Linked DNA regions of Tamandua tetradactyla. The protein of the gene in region 1 interacts with the protein of each later gene in a pairwise test. Links are inferred from orthologs where the notes say so. Each region holds a gene or a part of one and is shown on either strand. Other genes may lie near its edges.

Region 1 (7,904 bases):
AAATATTTATGGCTGTTGAAGAGATGGGGTTAAAAAGCCATGTGTGGGAGAGGGAGCCAGTTCTTCTTCGAGGTCAGGACTAAGTGGAAGACAGGAAGCTGTGAAGTTCATGCAAGGCCTGGGGTGCTGGCGTTGCCGTGTGGCCTTGGGCAAGCTGCCTTCTTTCTCTGGGTTTCAGTCTCTCCATGAATAAAACAATGAGCTACGAATCCCAGCTTTGGGGACCTGGAGGGATGAGAAGCCAGTCACAGGGGTCAGGTCTAACACTGTTCACTGGCTTCCACTTGGCACCACCACTCTTAGCCTGGGAGCGCAGAGCTTCCAGGGCTGGCCCATAACCCCAGGCAAGCTGCCGTCCCCAGCCCGCCCCCACCACAGCCTTCCTCTCCACCCTGTGCCCACCGTTGCCTCAGGCCTGCTGCCAGCTCCTCCCATGGCCACCGGGTCCATATGGCACAGTAAGACCCCTAGGCTGGGGGGGCTGAGTCCAGAGCCAGTGACTCCACCTCCCTGAGCCTCAGTCCCTTTAACTCTAAAATGGGTCTGATGATAAGAATCCCCTGCTCTGTCACCTCACAGGAGCAAAAGAGATCATGGAAGCAAAAACACATGGTTAAGTATTAAATGACAAAAACAATAGCTACCACTTATTGAACTCTTCCTCTGTACCAGGCAAAACACAATTTGATGTAATCCCCACAGAAGAAATAGGAGGTGGGGACTGTGGCTATTTGTAATTTTCAGATGAGGAAATGGAGGCTTAATAAGGAGGGTCAGGGTGGGGCTCTGAAGCCAGATGAGTCTAAGTAAAGAAGGCTCCAGGGCCGTCTGGGCTTTCGGAGGGATGCCCTCCTCTCCAGTTCTCTGCAAATGCAGACAGGCCCTGAGCCCCCAAAACCTGTTCCACCACAGGAATCAGATGGAAGGGGCTGGGGACAGGCCAGGGGAAGAGTGGGAGAGAAAGAAACCACCCATCAGGCCAAGAGGGAGCATTACCATCCACATCTTCTCAACATCCCCACCCCATAATGCAGATGAGGAAACTGAGACTCAGAAGGGACAAGGAATGCACCCAAGGTGGCAGCTGACAGGGAAACTCTACTCCCACCCAAGGTGGCTCCCTTCTCCCCTCTCCAGCAAAGGTGCCCCTAAGCTCCCCTCCCTTGCCCAGGCCCCCCCCCCCCACACACCCTTCCTTCACAGCCAGCTCCCTGGGGGCTGCTCCACCCACCCGTATCCCAGTAGAGAAGCACAGGGTCCCCACTGGAACAGACCCTCATTCTCAGAAGCTGTGGGTGACCCCTACCCCTGGTGGAATTCCACAAACATCTAAAGGGCTACTTTGGAAGCCATGAAGAGTGAGAGGTGACCCTCCCTGGCCTGCCAGGCTCTTATGGGTCCCTGACCTCAGTCCCCCCAGCAGCAGCCCACATTCCCCATGCCAGTCTCCATTCCAGAGGCAGCCAGAGCTGCAACAGCAGAGCTGGGCAAGGGGGTGGGGGGCAGGGCAGGGCAGGGCAGGGCAGGCGCCCTAGGCCCAGACACGCTGGCGCTCCTGGCAGTGATCTGGAAAGCAAAGAGGGAATGGCGTGGAGGGGGAGGAGGCGGGGACAGGGAAACGTGGTACTGGTGGCTCTTCCTGATGGGGAGAGGCCTGGGCTCAGGTGGGTCGGCAGCATGGTGGGGGGGGAGGGCAGGGGGGGAAGCGTAGAGGATTCCTAGGTTTGGCTCCACATTCGCCAGGAAGGGCTGTGTGAGTCCAAGTAAGCGCTCTGCCTCTCTGGGCCTCTGTTTCCACTGGTGAAAAAAAAAAAGAGGGAATTGGGCGGGGTTTCTCAGGCATCAGGGAAAAGTGCCAGGTGACCAGAGTAACTGCAGAAGGCGGGGGAGAGAAGTTAGGGCCCTGATGAGGCCCTCCCTGCCTCCCAGACACCCCAGGGAGAAGGTAACTGCGAGTGAGTCTGCCATTCGCCTGGGCGCCTCCGGGACTTCGTTAGCCACCGAGGAGAAAGAAGGGAAAGGAAACAGGTTTCAAAAATAACTAAGTCGCCAGCTTGCTACCTCGACCCGGTTAGGTGAGGGGACGCAGAGGTCTTAACGACAGTTTGTAAGGAAACCCTCCTCCCCACCCCCAGGCCGGACCTCGTCCCCAATCTCAAGCAGGTACCTGGGTTCACAGGCTCACACCTGGATGGGTCTCTGGGCGCCGGGGTGTCAAGAGATGAACCAGCGGGTTGGACCGGGTTGGGGGGAGGGACAAGTGGGATCCAGCCGCCGAGCGCTCCGCAGGGGCGGGGGCCAGCCCGCAGCGACCCCTGGGCACGCGGCTTGGGAAGACGCCCTGGTCCCCGTGGCCCCGTCCATAAACTCGGCCCTGGGCCCACTCCCCCTCCCCAGGACACGACGCCGCGCTCCTGCCTCCTCCCAGCTGCTCAGGGCGGCGAGGGGTGGGGGCCGAAAGGTGGGAGAGGTGCCGCGCGCCGGTCTCCTGCTGACCTGCGACCCCTTCCCACTGCCGCCTACACCTGGGGACCCCGAGCTTCGGTCTCTCCCCCCTGCGGCTGTCCCTCCTCCTAGGCTGCACAGAGCCTGGGGGGGAGGGGTTGGGGGGACTTGACCCCGGGCGACCCTCCGACCCGGCAGGGCCGGGGCAGGGCTGCTCCTAGCCGCGCGCGCCCCGCAGGGTGCACTGCAGGCCCTGCCTCTCCCCCCGCTGCGCCGAACTCCGGGCGCCGCGGGGGTCCCTGTCGGCCTCGGCCCGACCCCGGCCCGGGCCCCGGGGGACGCGCGCACACTCACTTCGGTGCCGGCCGCCGGCCCCCCAGCTCTGCTTGGCGAGGCTGGGGCTCCGGATCAGCGCCCGCCCGGCGGACTTGAGCGCGTCCATGGCCCGCTCCGGCCGCCGCAGCCCAGCAGCCGCCAAAACTCCTTCAGGAAAAACTTTCCGCCAGGGCCGCGCGGCGCGCGCGCTCCTCCCCTCCCCGCGCCAGCTCCGCCGCGGCGTCCGACGGGGCGGGGCGAAAAGCCGGCCAGGCCCCGCCCCGGACGGCCCGCCCCGCCCATGCCCTCTGGGTGGGGCGCGCTCCCAGTCCTTGCGTAGACAAAGGGCGGCGCCCCTAAAATAGCGAGCCGAAAGCTCAAGACAACTCATGTTTCCTTCTCCGCAATTCCCTTCCTCCCCGACCTGTAGGAGTTGGCAGGTCCGAGAGCCGCCAGCCCCGCCGCGAGACTGACTGCCCCTAGGATTTCCTAGCCAGTCCTAAAGAATGGTTCTGGGAGATCATTTTACAGATAGGAAGACTGAGAGCCAGAGAAGGAAAAGGGCCAGGGGACAGGGGATGCACAAAGCAGTGGAAAGCTTAGAAGGAGAGGGTGGGGGTTTTGGCGCTTTGTAGGTATGGGACTAGAGTGTGAAAGTTTGCTTTAGCAAAACCACGTGAGCACTTTACTCACCCACATAGCAGGCAGGCTGCCCCCTGGCACTCTGGACTGCCTCTGTCCAGCTTTCTCCCCCAGCTAGCCTCAGGAGGTGGCATGGCCTGGTACATTATGCTGTGAGGTATGGGGGAAAGCATACCTCTGATACTGACTCGCTGTGTGACTTCAGGCAGTTCCTTCTTTGGGTCTCGTTCTTATCTATAAAGTGGCTGGCCTGCTGCATACTATTGACCCAGATTCTGCCCCCTTCCTGCAGGTACTCGAGGGACCAAGGAGTCTCCATCCTAGGACTCCTCAAACGCAGGTGTTCTAACTCCAGGATTCTAGAATTCTTACTCTTAGAAATTCTGAGTCTGCCTGTTGGCCTGTGTCAAAGGAGCGAAAGGAGAGTGTATCTGTCCGGACCTTTGACCTGGCTTTTTCTAGGCAGGGTGTCTCAGCAAGGCCAGCCAAACAGAGAGCAGGGGCACGCGAACCCTCACTCCATCCAGCCTCTGCTTGCTCCAGGCTCAGAAACCAGGACCCGGGTTTCTGTGATGGGGAAGAGAAACTACTCGGCCAGCCCCACCTGGGTCAGGAGGCCTCACTGACATGGTCACTCCCCTGTTTATAAAAAGAGTGCTTTTTCAGCCATTCTGTCCTTTGCTCCAACAACAGTGCTGAACTGGATATTGAAGCCAGGAATAAACCCATTTTATAGAATAGGAGCCCAAGGCTCAGGAGTGAAGCACTCACTGAGGGTCTCCTGCACATCAGAGGCCACATCATACTCAGACCAAGGGCAGTAGACCAGAGTGGAATGTTGGGAGCTTGAATCCAGCTCTCTTCCTTTTGGGCAAACCCCCTCAGGGGCAACAGTACCCATTCCTCAGAGGTGTCTGTGAGGATGAAATAAAGTGAGTTGGAGAGGTTGAATAACGTACCTTTAAAATTGCCTCTTCCAGGAAGCCTTCCTTCGCTCCCACCCAGGGGTTAAGTTTCCTGTGGGCTCCACAGGCCTGCTTTTGGAATGGCAAGTATTGCTACTCCCTGTTTCTACTCTTCTCGCTCCCACCAAAGTTGTATCCTTCAAGGGCAAGCTTTTCTATTCATTTCTGAATCCCGTAGGGTCCAAAGGGAGTTGGACACAGTCAGTGTTTGTTTTTTTTCCCTCCTCCCTCCTTCCAGCTTTTCACCACACCAGGCTGCCTCTTCCCACAGAAGGGCTGTGGCAACGGGTAGGTAGACCCTGAGGGCTAACACCACTGGCTCTCTCACATCAAGCCAGTGAGTCTTGGAGAAGCAGAGCACATTCTGGAACCTGAAGGAAGAACAATCATTCACGCTGGCTGGAGAAGGGCAGGGGGTGGTGTCCACCTGGCAGGGGGCACCATATGGGCCTGGTAAGCAGTCAGGCCTGGGAACGCCATGCGTGCAGCAAAAGCTGTTTCTGTGCCCTTCACATCTCTTGGAGGCAGCTTGCTGGGAGCTGTCAGCCATGCATCCCCTGCAGAGGGGCAGCCTGCCTGTGCCCCTCCTGCCAATCCCAGAAACAGAAGCAGAAACAGAAGGTCAGAGGCATGAAGGGCCTCCTTTGAGGTTACAGTATCCAATTCCTCATTTCACAGATGAGAAGCCTCAAGCCCAGAGAGGGGCAGTGACTTGCCCAAGGTCGCACAGCAAGCCAGGACGAGAGGCTGTCTCCTGCCTCCCTGCCCAGATGCTTTTGAAAACGGGGGAGACCAAAGAAATCTTGAGAATATGTTAGTATTCAAGTAGGGGTTTTAACGTGGTCATTCCTTGAAACTTCGGGTATTTATGTGACACCTGAGACTCTGAATTAGAGACTGAAGCTATGAAAGTCAGCATTACCCATACAGCAACTGTTTAAAAAGTTGAAAAAGTGATCAGACTTCAACTAGAGATGTGAATGAAGCTGATCTGGACTACGGGAAATCAGAATACAGGGTAAAGGGTGATATGGTCCATGTTTTAAAATGTCACCTTCTGTGTGAGATCAAAAGAAGGGATGTTTATTTGGTGCAAAATCTATATTGTGGGTAGCACATTATCTAATTTAATTTGTATGGTCAGTTAATTTGAACACCATAATTACATGAAATCTTGAATATGGCGTGAGACCTTGTTGGTTTGTACAGGTTAGGGTGATGCCCTGATATACCCCAGAATAATGTGGGCAGAGAATAAAAAAAGTATTTGCAAAGACCCCTTGGGAGACTGGGGAGAAAGGAGGAAAATTCCATTTGGGGAATTCTCGATATTCTCACAAGCAGTGGGGACAACTAATTTAATAGGCTAAGCCCTCGATCTTAGGGTTCACCCCTATGAAATTTATTCCTGCAAAGGATAAGCTAAGCCTACTTATAATTATGCCTAAGAGTCACCCCCAGAGAACTTCTTTTGTTGCTCAGATGTGGCCTTTCTAGGCCAACGCAGCAGGTGAACTCACTGCCCTCCCCACTACATGGGACATGACTGAGGGGTATAAATCTCCCTGGCAATGTGGGACAGAATTCCTGGGATGAGATGATACCCAGCATGAAAAGATTCAGAAAACCTTCTTGACCAAAAGGGGGAAGAGAGAAATGAGACAAAATGAAGTTTCAGTGGCTAAGAGATTTCAAACAGAGTCAAGAGGTTATCTTGGAGGTTATTCTTATTTATTATATAGGCATCCCTTTTAGTTTACGGTGTATTGGAGTGGCTAGAGGGAAGTACCTGAAACTTTTGAGCTGTGTTCCAGTAGCCTTAATTCTTGAAGACAATTGTATAACTATATAGCTTTTACAATGTGACCATGTGATTATGAAAACCTTCTGTCTGATGCTCCTTTTATCCAGGCTATGGACAGATGAGCAAAAAAAAAAAAAGGATAAAAAAGAAATAATGGGGGTGGTAGGTATAAAGGGTAAAAAAATTGCATAGATGGAAATACTAGTGGTGATGAGAGGGAGGGGTAAGGGGTATAAGATGTGTGAGTTTTTTCCTTTGTCTTTTTATTTATTTTTCTGGAGTGATGCAAATGTTCTCAAAATGATCATGGTGTTGAATTCACAACTATGTGATGATATTGTGAGCCACTGATTATACACCATGTATGAACTGTGTGTGTGTGAAGATTTGTCAATAAAAATATTTAAAAAAAAGAGGGGATTTAAGGTGATTATTCTTTTCCTGATTTTTGGTTGGTTAGTTGGGTTTTTGTAATTGTATTTTCTTATCTGACGATCTGTCTTTGGAAAAATTTCTGCAGTGATCATGTATCTTTTAATAATCAGAAATTAGAAAATAATAAAAGTTGGGGGACTGGGAAACTATCTATGGGAATTACTGGCCTTTGTCCCTAGGAAAATGGAGACAGAACCACAGTCTTACTGTTTCTTCCTCACGGGGCCTGCGTGGAACCCCAGTGGGATAGTGGGTGCAAGAGAGCCGGGAGGGCTGTTGGCCTCTCTCCAGTCATATTTGGGGCTTGCAGTGGGATCGAGACAAAAGCCCTACATGGGATCAGGGCCCTGGCTTCCTCAGGTGGCCTATCCCCCTTACATTCCCTAGCCAGTCCCTTCGGCTTGCTGGGCCTGCTTTTCATCTGTAAAATGGGTTACCGGCGGAAACCAGCAAAGCCCAGCGGCTAACCCCGAGGATGCTGGAGCCTGGGACTTCGGCCCCCTGACTTCTTCATGTCGTGACCTTAGGTGCGTCGTTTAATTTCCATGGGCCTCTGTTTCCACCTGCGTAAAGTGGAGATTATACTTCATGGAGTTGTTGTGAGGAGTAAATGAGTTAATATTTGTAATGTGTTCAGAATTAGGCCTGACACATCTGTGCCATGTTTGTTGTTTCCTAATTAGATGAACAGTACAGATGAAACGGGTGGGGTGGTTATCATTGTTCTTGGCTGGTCCCCAGGGAAGGGAGCTTTCTAGGGAATGGAATCAGCCTGGCCGGTCTGAGCTGTGGGTAGTCCAGCCTTGCCCCAGGGCCTCCCATCCCCCACCCTGGCAGGACAGGGCTGCCCCGTCACCCTCCCTCAGGCGCAAGTTTGCGAGCTCCTACCAGGGAGACAGAGAGAACCTGGGCCACCCAGTGAGTTGGGAGCCCTGGAGCTGCCCGCTTACTCAGCTCTGGCCTTTCCCCTGATCCACAGGGACTCTCCTGCCCTCTGAGGCCCGCAGACCTGGTAGCCCCAATCAGTTGCCTCTGAACCCCTCCCTCAACCCCTTCCCATGCTGCTTCCTCTCCCAGAAACATCCAGCCAGATTGCCTCCCTGACTCTCCTGGTCCCTTCACCTTTGGCTAAAGGGTCTAGTTGGCCTCCTCCCCAATACCACAGTGACAGCCCACACACAGCTTTCCGTCCCCAATGCACGTGCACACACATACACATCTAAACAGCAACTGTTTGACCTTGGAGCTCTACATACCTGGGCTCTAAAACCAAGTCTACTTATGGTTAGGTAACATTA
Region 2 (7,776 bases), on another chromosome or scaffold:
TGAAGCCATGCAGCCTTCCTGGCTCCAGACCCCTGTTCCCTGAGGGCTTGTCCAAGCCCCAGGACACAGATGGGCCCCCAACCCAAGACTTACGGCCCCAGGGCTGCAGAGTGGCTTGTGGCAGGAGTGACTCCCCTGCTTACACAACTGTGTGAACAGACCTGGGAGGCCTGTAGCCTCTTCGAGGAGCAGCCCTGGGACCAGAAACACCAGGGAGTGTGACCACCAGGAGACCTGGGGACGTGGGGAAGGCCCCTGCATGGAGCCTGGGCACAGGGCATCCCAGGTCCACTCAGCCGCCTTCTCCAGGGACCCACCCAAGGCCTGGTCCACTGGTGTGAGCTGGCACCCCTCGGTGACCGCTCCTCCTTGTCTAGCCCCCTGCCTGCCCTCCCGGCACAGTGCATCTAATGGATGCCTTACCCCTCATGCCCCCCGGCACACTGCCTCTGACGGACCCATCCTTAGGAGGGCGTTTCTGAGCAAGAATGACATCAGCCTTCCTACTTGGGTTCACAGGAAATGTTCCTTGGCCAAAAAGGGGAGTGGCAGTGGGGGGAGGCTGGAGGTGTTGGGAGGAGATCGGGCCCCCACCACCTTCTGTAAGACGGAGCTCCCCTCCCCTCTGCAAACATGCGTTATAAGCAATCACGAGGGGCAGATAAAGCCGCGCAGCGCGGGATGTTTTTGAGTGCGCTGGGCACAGGTGAGTATCAGATGAGCCTTCCCAGAGGAAACCAGGTGTTGCACACCTGCCTCAGGTGGAGGAGAGTCAGAGCCGCTGCAGCAGCTGCCCAGAGACCGAGGAGAAGAGAGCAGCTCTGGGGTGCAGGGCAGAGACCAGGGCAGGGACGGGGAAATGTGGGGTTCCCAAGGGGAGGGGAGGAGGGAGGGGCTGGGGCAGCAGGCGGCGTCCGCGGGGACTACGGTGGGCAGCGGGACCAGCCGAGGCTCTCGCTGGCCACAGCCAGCACCTCCCCCCCACCCCCCGTCCCTCCCTCCATCCACGTGACCCTCTCAGGCACCTCAAGAGGAGGAGTTTGGGGACAGGGCGGCTCGCTGACCTACCCTTCCTTTACACTCTGCTTAGTCGTTGCTTAATCGTTGTTTGCAGGAGGGTTTCAATTCTGTTTTTACTGCTCCCCACTCCACGGAGGGGTGGAGTCACCCAGAGACTGCCAAGCCCCCACTGCACAGGGCGGGGGACTGGGACCGGCCTGGGGTGGGATGCGTGCTCAGTCTCGGGGAGCCTGGCCTTCGGCCCCTGGGTCATGGCTTCTTTTTTCCTCATGTCCTGATGTGTATTGAAATCCCTTCTGAAGCTGCCTGCCTGTCTCGGGCTGCCCGGAGCAAGGAGGCTGGGGGGACAGGCCCATGGGCGGTTCTGCTAACGCTGCAGCCAGGGGGCTCTCACTTTAGGAACAAGCTGGGGGGAAGTGGGGTCCAAGCCACTGACCTAGAGCTCCAGAGGACGGGGCGGGGGCAGCAGGACAGAGGGGGGAGCCGGGCAGAGGGGGGAAGCCCAGCCAGGGGGTACCACTCCACCACATGGATGCCTGGGCCCCCCGCCCCGTCTTGCAGATTGTGGGCTACCTTTCAGGGAACTTCTGGGGAGACATGCAAGGGCACAGCCTCAGCTCCTGTGGGCAGCGGCACCGACCTCCACCCCGCCGGGGCTGGGACCTTCTTTCAGGCCTCGAGGGACAGGAGGAGGGGCGGGCGCTGGACCCACTACGATGCCTGCCTGGTGCCTGGGCCGGAGGGCACTTGAGGCGGCCGCCTGGGACTCTGAAGGGCCGCGGGACCCCACGCCCTTGCTTCGCAGGGGCGACCCCCAGCCGCGAGGGGCCTCAGCCCCACGGCCCAGCAGCCACGAGGGGCCTCCCTCCCTGCAAAAGGAGGAAGCGGAGCTGCGGCCGGCAGGTCTGTGTGCAGCGGGAGCGCCAGGCCTTGTAGGTCCGCCCAGAGAAGCCAAAACCAACCAAACCAGGGACACAGGAATCGGTCACGCACAAGGCAGCAGGGCACAGCCCCAAGGGCTGCCCAAGTCCTCCCCGCCGGCCCCCTCTGTTCTCTGTGTGGGTCGCTCTCCCTGTCCCTTCAGGCAGGAAGATGCGTCCTTCCATCAGAGAATGGCGCCTGCCGGGGCTGGGGCTGGGGCAGGGCCCCCCTGCGTGGCAGCACGACAGAGGCCCTGCCCCCGGCTGCATGTCCTGCCCACCCAGAGATGTGCAGAGAGCCTGGGCTGTGGGGGCTCGAACCAGGCCAGGGCCCTGGGCCTCGGTCCTCTTCCACCTCCCCCTCCCCTCCTTCCTGCCTGCGTCCGGCCCAGGGAGAGGCCCCGTGGAGCCCGAATGCCCCAGGAAGAGGGGGCAGGTGGGAGCCTAGCTGCAGGGTCACTGTGGCCAGCGATGTCAGGGCCTGTCCTGTCATGAGGCTCGAACCCTACACAGCGCTTGCAGCCTGGTCCTGGGCTGCCCCAAGCAGAGAACAGAGACAACTGTGTCACCAGCGGGGCACAGAGGAAAGGGCGCCTGCACCAGACAAGAGCCTAAGCCAAAGCTGCCGGGCAAGCGCGAGGACAGCCCAGCCTCCAAGAGCTTCTCGGGTGGCTGGAAGGAAGGGGCAGCGGGGAGCCCCCTTCCGAGGGGCCGCACCCAGTCTGGCTCACAGCCCAGGGACCCCCAAGAGGGGATCCAGGAGCTCTCTGGGCCCCCACCCTTAGCTGCAGGCTTCCGGGGGGCAGGGAGTGGGGGCAGGGCCGATGGGCCGATGGGAGGAGAAGGGTGCCGAAAAGGGAGAAGCAGGGGTGTCCTGTCCAAAGCCAGGCTCGCCGCAGGTGCACCAGGCCCCCAGAGACCCCCGGATGCCCTGCTCCCGCCCGCACACCCTCCTCACCTCCAGAGCCCCCCGATGGCTCCCCAGGAGCAGCCTCCCCTGCGCAGTCTCCCCGCGAACGTGGCAGCTTGAGGTCTGACTTCCGCTCTCCACCGTGCTCCTGCGCGGCACCTCATACTTCCTGCCACAGCCCAGGGCCTCCAGGCCCTTTCCCCAGCCCCTGCCCCCTGGGACCCCCCCCCCCCCAACCGCAGCACAGGCACCCAGGGCGGAGGTAGGTTCCAGGCTGGTGACTTTCCTCTCTCCCTTTTGGCAAACCACATTTCAAGTCTCCCGTGGCTGAAGGTCCAGCTGGAGTGCACAGGGCCCGCCCCTTGGGCACCCACTCCATGGCCGAGAGCGCTGGTGGGGGGGACACCGAACCTCTGGCCACGGAGGGGCCTCCCACCCGCCACTCAAAGCCACAGGCACCTGGCCACCTCCCCACGGCTGGAAGGACATGCCCAGCTGACCTGCTGCCCTTCTCCAGGTGCCCAGGACCCCCTCTCAGCCCACCTGCTTCCTCCAGCCTCTTCCCAGTCCCTCTACGCAGCCCTAGGCCACAGATGGGCAGGAGGGGCCGGCAGGGCGAGCACCTGGGGCAGGGGCTGGAGGGGCGAAGGGAGACAGGGCCACAGCAGGAAAGGCTTCCAGGTGGCCCCGGGACAGGGCAGAGGGTGGGGGTGGCCAGGAAGGCTTAGGGTTAGGGTTAGGGTTAGGGTTAGGGTTAGGGTTAGGGTTAGGGCGGCAAGCAGGGGGCGTGTGAGGCACGCATCTGTCCTTCCTTCCACCTCTGTCCTTCACCCCCTGTCCTCCCTCTGTCCTCCCCCCGTCCTCCCCCCTCTGACCTCCCCCCTGATATCCCCCCTCTGTCCTCCCCCATCTATCCTCCCCCTCTGTCTTCCCCTTCTGTCCACCCCCTTTGTCTTCCCTCTGTCCTACCCCATCTGTTCTCCACCTTCTGTCCTCCCTCTCTGTCCTCCCAGGCCGGGGCCTCGGGGCTGCGGGGAACCTCCCAGCATGAAGTTTCCTGTTCCATGCCCCTGCATCGAGGGCCCCCAGCACAGGCAAGACGGGAGCATGATGTGGGTTGGATGAGGACAGGGACAGGACACTGCTGAGCCCACCCTGCCCCCTCAGGGCCAGGGACTGGCAGCCCACACAGCAGTACCCATGCAGACGGCTGACCCTGCAGCACTGCCTGGCACCCCGACCTTCCTCAAGGTGCGCTGGCTACGGTGCGTGGGCACGGGAGGGGCTCTTCCCACGGCCAGGGGGCCACAAGGAAGCGCAGAGGGTAGTGGTGCGACACTCCAAGCCAAGCAAGTAAGAAAACGGATCGCATATTCGGTCGGGTCGCGTTTTTGAAAGCAATGTATTTACCTATTTAGGTGATAAAATACCAAAACGTTCACAGTACTATCTGCGTGCCAGCAGTTCATGTGTCTTTAACTTCTTTAAGCTTTGTTGACACTACCTCACTTTATAAAATATGATGTATGATGTTTATCCAAGCAAACCCAATAAAGCTGCTTTGATGGACTAAATATGATGGGATTCCTCTACTTGCTTTAAAGACCTTTTGCTGTGCTCTGTCCCCACAGTTGCTGAGGGGCATGGGGCTCTGGGGGCGCCTGGGCCCCCAGCTCGGTCTCACTGCCCCCGCCCCGGCCTCACCGCCCCCACCCCTGAGGGTCAGAAGGGAAATGCGCTCCCCCCAAGCGCTGCCTCCACAAGCCCACAGCTGCACCAGCCCAAGCCCAAATGGAACTCTTTAATAGGTGAACAATTCTTTGGATATGCATCAGGAAAATAAAAGCGCAATCATGCTAATGCAGACAATGCCTAATTTTGGTTGTTTTTTCGTGTGTGTGTGTGTATTCAAAGAAAAATCTTTAATATATCATAGTATGGGTGGAAAACTCATGTCAAAGCCACGACTGGGATGCACAGGTGAGCAGATCTCTGTGCAGCAGAAGCTGAGTCTCTGGCATTTACAGCTTTGGAGAAAGAGCCGGAAGTCTGCCCTTTAGTGCCCATTAGCCACGGTCGGCCGTGACCGTGGACAGAAATCAGCTCCCACTAAATGGAAAGTTCCGGCGTCCAAAGGCAGAGCAGGTAAGTGCTGAGCAGGGGAAAGGGGAGGAGAAGCCAGGAGAAGGGCTGTCCCTGGGGTCTGCACAGGGAGCACTGGCCTGCAGGGGCCACTCTGGGACAAGGCGGCTCCCGGCAGGGACAGGCTGGGGAGGAGAGCCACCCTTCTTCTTCCCTGCTTCGGCCGCTCTTCCTCCAGGGCTGCGTCCCAGGCCAGGCCACTGGGCCTCCAGGAAAGCAGGGCTGCTCCTTGACCACCCCTCCTCCCTGCTGCCCCATCCCATGCCCAGGGGATGGCTTCTGAGACGGCCCGGCCAAGAAGTGCCCAGCAAAGCGCAGTGCTCGAGAGCACCATGTCGGCTGGCTGGCCTCTCTCCGTCCGTCCAGGCCACCTGGGGGCTGCCTGGGACCCGCACCCACTCCCCCACTGCTGGAGGCTTGCAGCCCCTCTCTTGCCCTGAGTTTGTTGGGGTGTGTCCATTTGCCAGGGGTGCTTTCCCGCCACACCCGCCCTCGGCAGCCCTGAATGTGGCTCCTCCACCTCCCACAGAAATCCGCTCCCACCTCCCTCCTCATCCTCCTCCCTGAGCCACCCCTGCCCCTGAAAATACTTATAGCCCCCAACCCCCACCCCACGCCCCCTTCCCCAACTGCCAAATGCTGGCATTCGAGCCACCCTAGGCTGCTGTGTGAGGAGCCCGCCACGCTCCAGCTGAGCTCCAACAGCTCTGCAGCCCTTCCCCAGGTGTGCTGGGCGCAGCTCGGGCTCCCTCCCCACTGCCCTCCCCACTGCCAGACCCTCCTTGTCTCCTCCTCCACCCAACCCAACAAGAGTCCAGGAGCCAAGTATGCATGGCAGCTGAACAGAACATGGCACCTTAGGACATGGCATCAGGTTTAAAAGTAAGAAAATCAGAATATATAGCACAATAAAGTCATCAAGTCTAAAATACATGCACACATAAATTTGTCTATTTCTCTAAAATATGTACAGACCCAAGAATGCTAAAAACATGCCAATGTGTGTAGTGGGGGGGAGGGAGATGGCAGACGTGAAGGGTGGACAGTAGGCCCAGAGACGGGGGCCAGGAGAAATAAGGAGAACCTAGTAATTCAACAGAAAACAGGACCAAAATCAAATATATAGAGTTTCAGGAGGAGGGCGGAGCGGAGAGGTTGAGTTCAGCCCGCTCCGAGGAACAGCCAGAGAAGGGCAGAAGGGCGACTCCAGGGTGGGGGTGACCCGGCAGGGCCTTCCACACCTCATGGGGCCGCCCTGGTGGCAGGAGCTGAAGAGCTGAGATGCAGAGACCCGGAGACCGCGCGGCTGCAGCACTGCGCCCGCCCGTTTCCCGAAGAAGGCACGCAGCTCTCAGGGATGCACGGACGGGGGCGGGGCCGGGAAGTCAGCCAAGCCGCAACCCTTGAGCATGCTACCCTCCTGTGCGGCCTCCACCCACAGCTCCTCCCACCCCCAGCAAACTTGCCGAGTGCTGCCGCCCCCCAGCGCGCCCCCACCCACAGCCCCGGCTCCACACACACGCAGACTGGCCCAGCCGACCCACCTCTCCCGCATAAGCGCAATGTTGCCCCGCCCCTCCCGAGACCCCCCACCGGTACCCAGGCCCTGGACCCCTACCTTCCCTTCCCTGCCCCCTGCAGGCGGTCACCTGCGCATCCAGGCTGCAGCCTCTCACAATCATCACTGGGCCCTGTCCATCTCCAAACACAAAGCTCTAGTCTACTGAAGGAAAGCAATTTTCAAAGTAACCCTCTCAAGATATTTACATGCCGCAAAGATAATAGGAGATCGCAAGCATATCACACTGCAGAAGAGGCATAGCCCAGCCTAAGAGCCAAAGTAAAACACTTGAGGAGACACAGAGTCTGGAACAACTAAGCAAATTGTTCTTACAACTCTATTAAACAGAATAAGTGGGATGGCTAATTACATGAAGGACATCAAGAACACACCAGAAGAGCATAAAAATGAATTTGAAAAAATAAACAGAAAAACAGCAGATATCACAGAGATTAAAGATGCTTTAGACCAAATCAAAAATATACTTGAGACACACAACAGCAGATTTGAAGAGGCAGGAGAAAAGAATAAGCACACTCGAGACCAGGACAACTGAACTTGAACACACAAAAGACCAAATGGCAAAAATTTGGAAAAACGTGAATTGGATTTCAGGGCAATGATGGACAAAAAAAGCAAACAAATATAAGAATCATCGATGTCCCAAAAGGAGAAGAGAAGAGTAAAGAGTTAGGAAGAGTGGTTGAGGATATAATGGGGAAAACTTCCCAACCCTTATAAAAGATATAAATGTGCAAATCAAAGAAGCCCAACCAACTCTATAGGCCTTCCCCAAGACACATGCTAATCAGTCTGTCAGATGTTGAAGAGAAGCAGAAAATGTGAAAATGACAAAAGTAAAACTGTCTTTTACGAACATGGGAAATCACATAAGACTTAGGTCGGACTACTCAACTTGCATCATGAAGGCAAGAAGGCAATGATATAATATATTTAAAATCCTAAAAGAGAAAGACTTCCAGCCAAAAATTCTGTACCCAGCCAAATTTTCCTTCAAAACTGAGGGATAGTGTGGCCCATGGTGGCTCAGCAGGCAGAGTTCTCACTGGCCATGTTGGGTTCGATTCCTGGTGCCTGCCCATGTGAAAAAAAGATTAAAAAACTGAGGGAGAGATTAAAATTTTCATAGACAAACAAAAGCTGAAAGAATCTGTCAATCAGCCCTATAAGAAATATTAAAGGGAGCTCTACTGGTCAAAAAA

What was found. The genes of interacting proteins can lie anywhere in the genome.
Region 2: the proteins of LDLRAP1 (region 1) and PSD4 interact in binary tests that used the Homo sapiens proteins (3 or more experiments, as listed by UniProt). The two-hybrid records come from large-scale screens. The link is inferred for Tamandua tetradactyla from reciprocal best matches to the Homo sapiens genes LDLRAP1 and PSD4.

The regions. Positions count from the first base shown.
Region 1 is NC_135328.1:200,650,351-200,658,254, forward strand, and holds the start of LDLRAP1 (low density lipoprotein receptor adapter protein 1), read right to left. Parts: upstream 3,004-7,904; 5' UTR 2,888-3,003; coding exon 2,800-2,887; intron 1-2,799. UniProt on the Homo sapiens protein: Adapter protein (clathrin-associated sorting protein (CLASP)) required for efficient endocytosis of the LDL receptor (LDLR) in polarized cells such as hepatocytes and lymphocytes, but not in non-polarized cells (fibroblasts).
Region 2 is NC_135343.1:138,351-146,126, forward strand, and holds the start of PSD4 (PH and SEC7 domain-containing protein 4), read right to left. Parts: upstream 3,004-7,776; 5' UTR 2,899-3,003; intron 1-2,898. UniProt on the Homo sapiens protein: Guanine nucleotide exchange factor for ARF6 and ARL14/ARF7. Through ARL14 activation, controls the movement of MHC class II-containing vesicles along the actin cytoskeleton in dendritic cells. Involved in membrane recycling.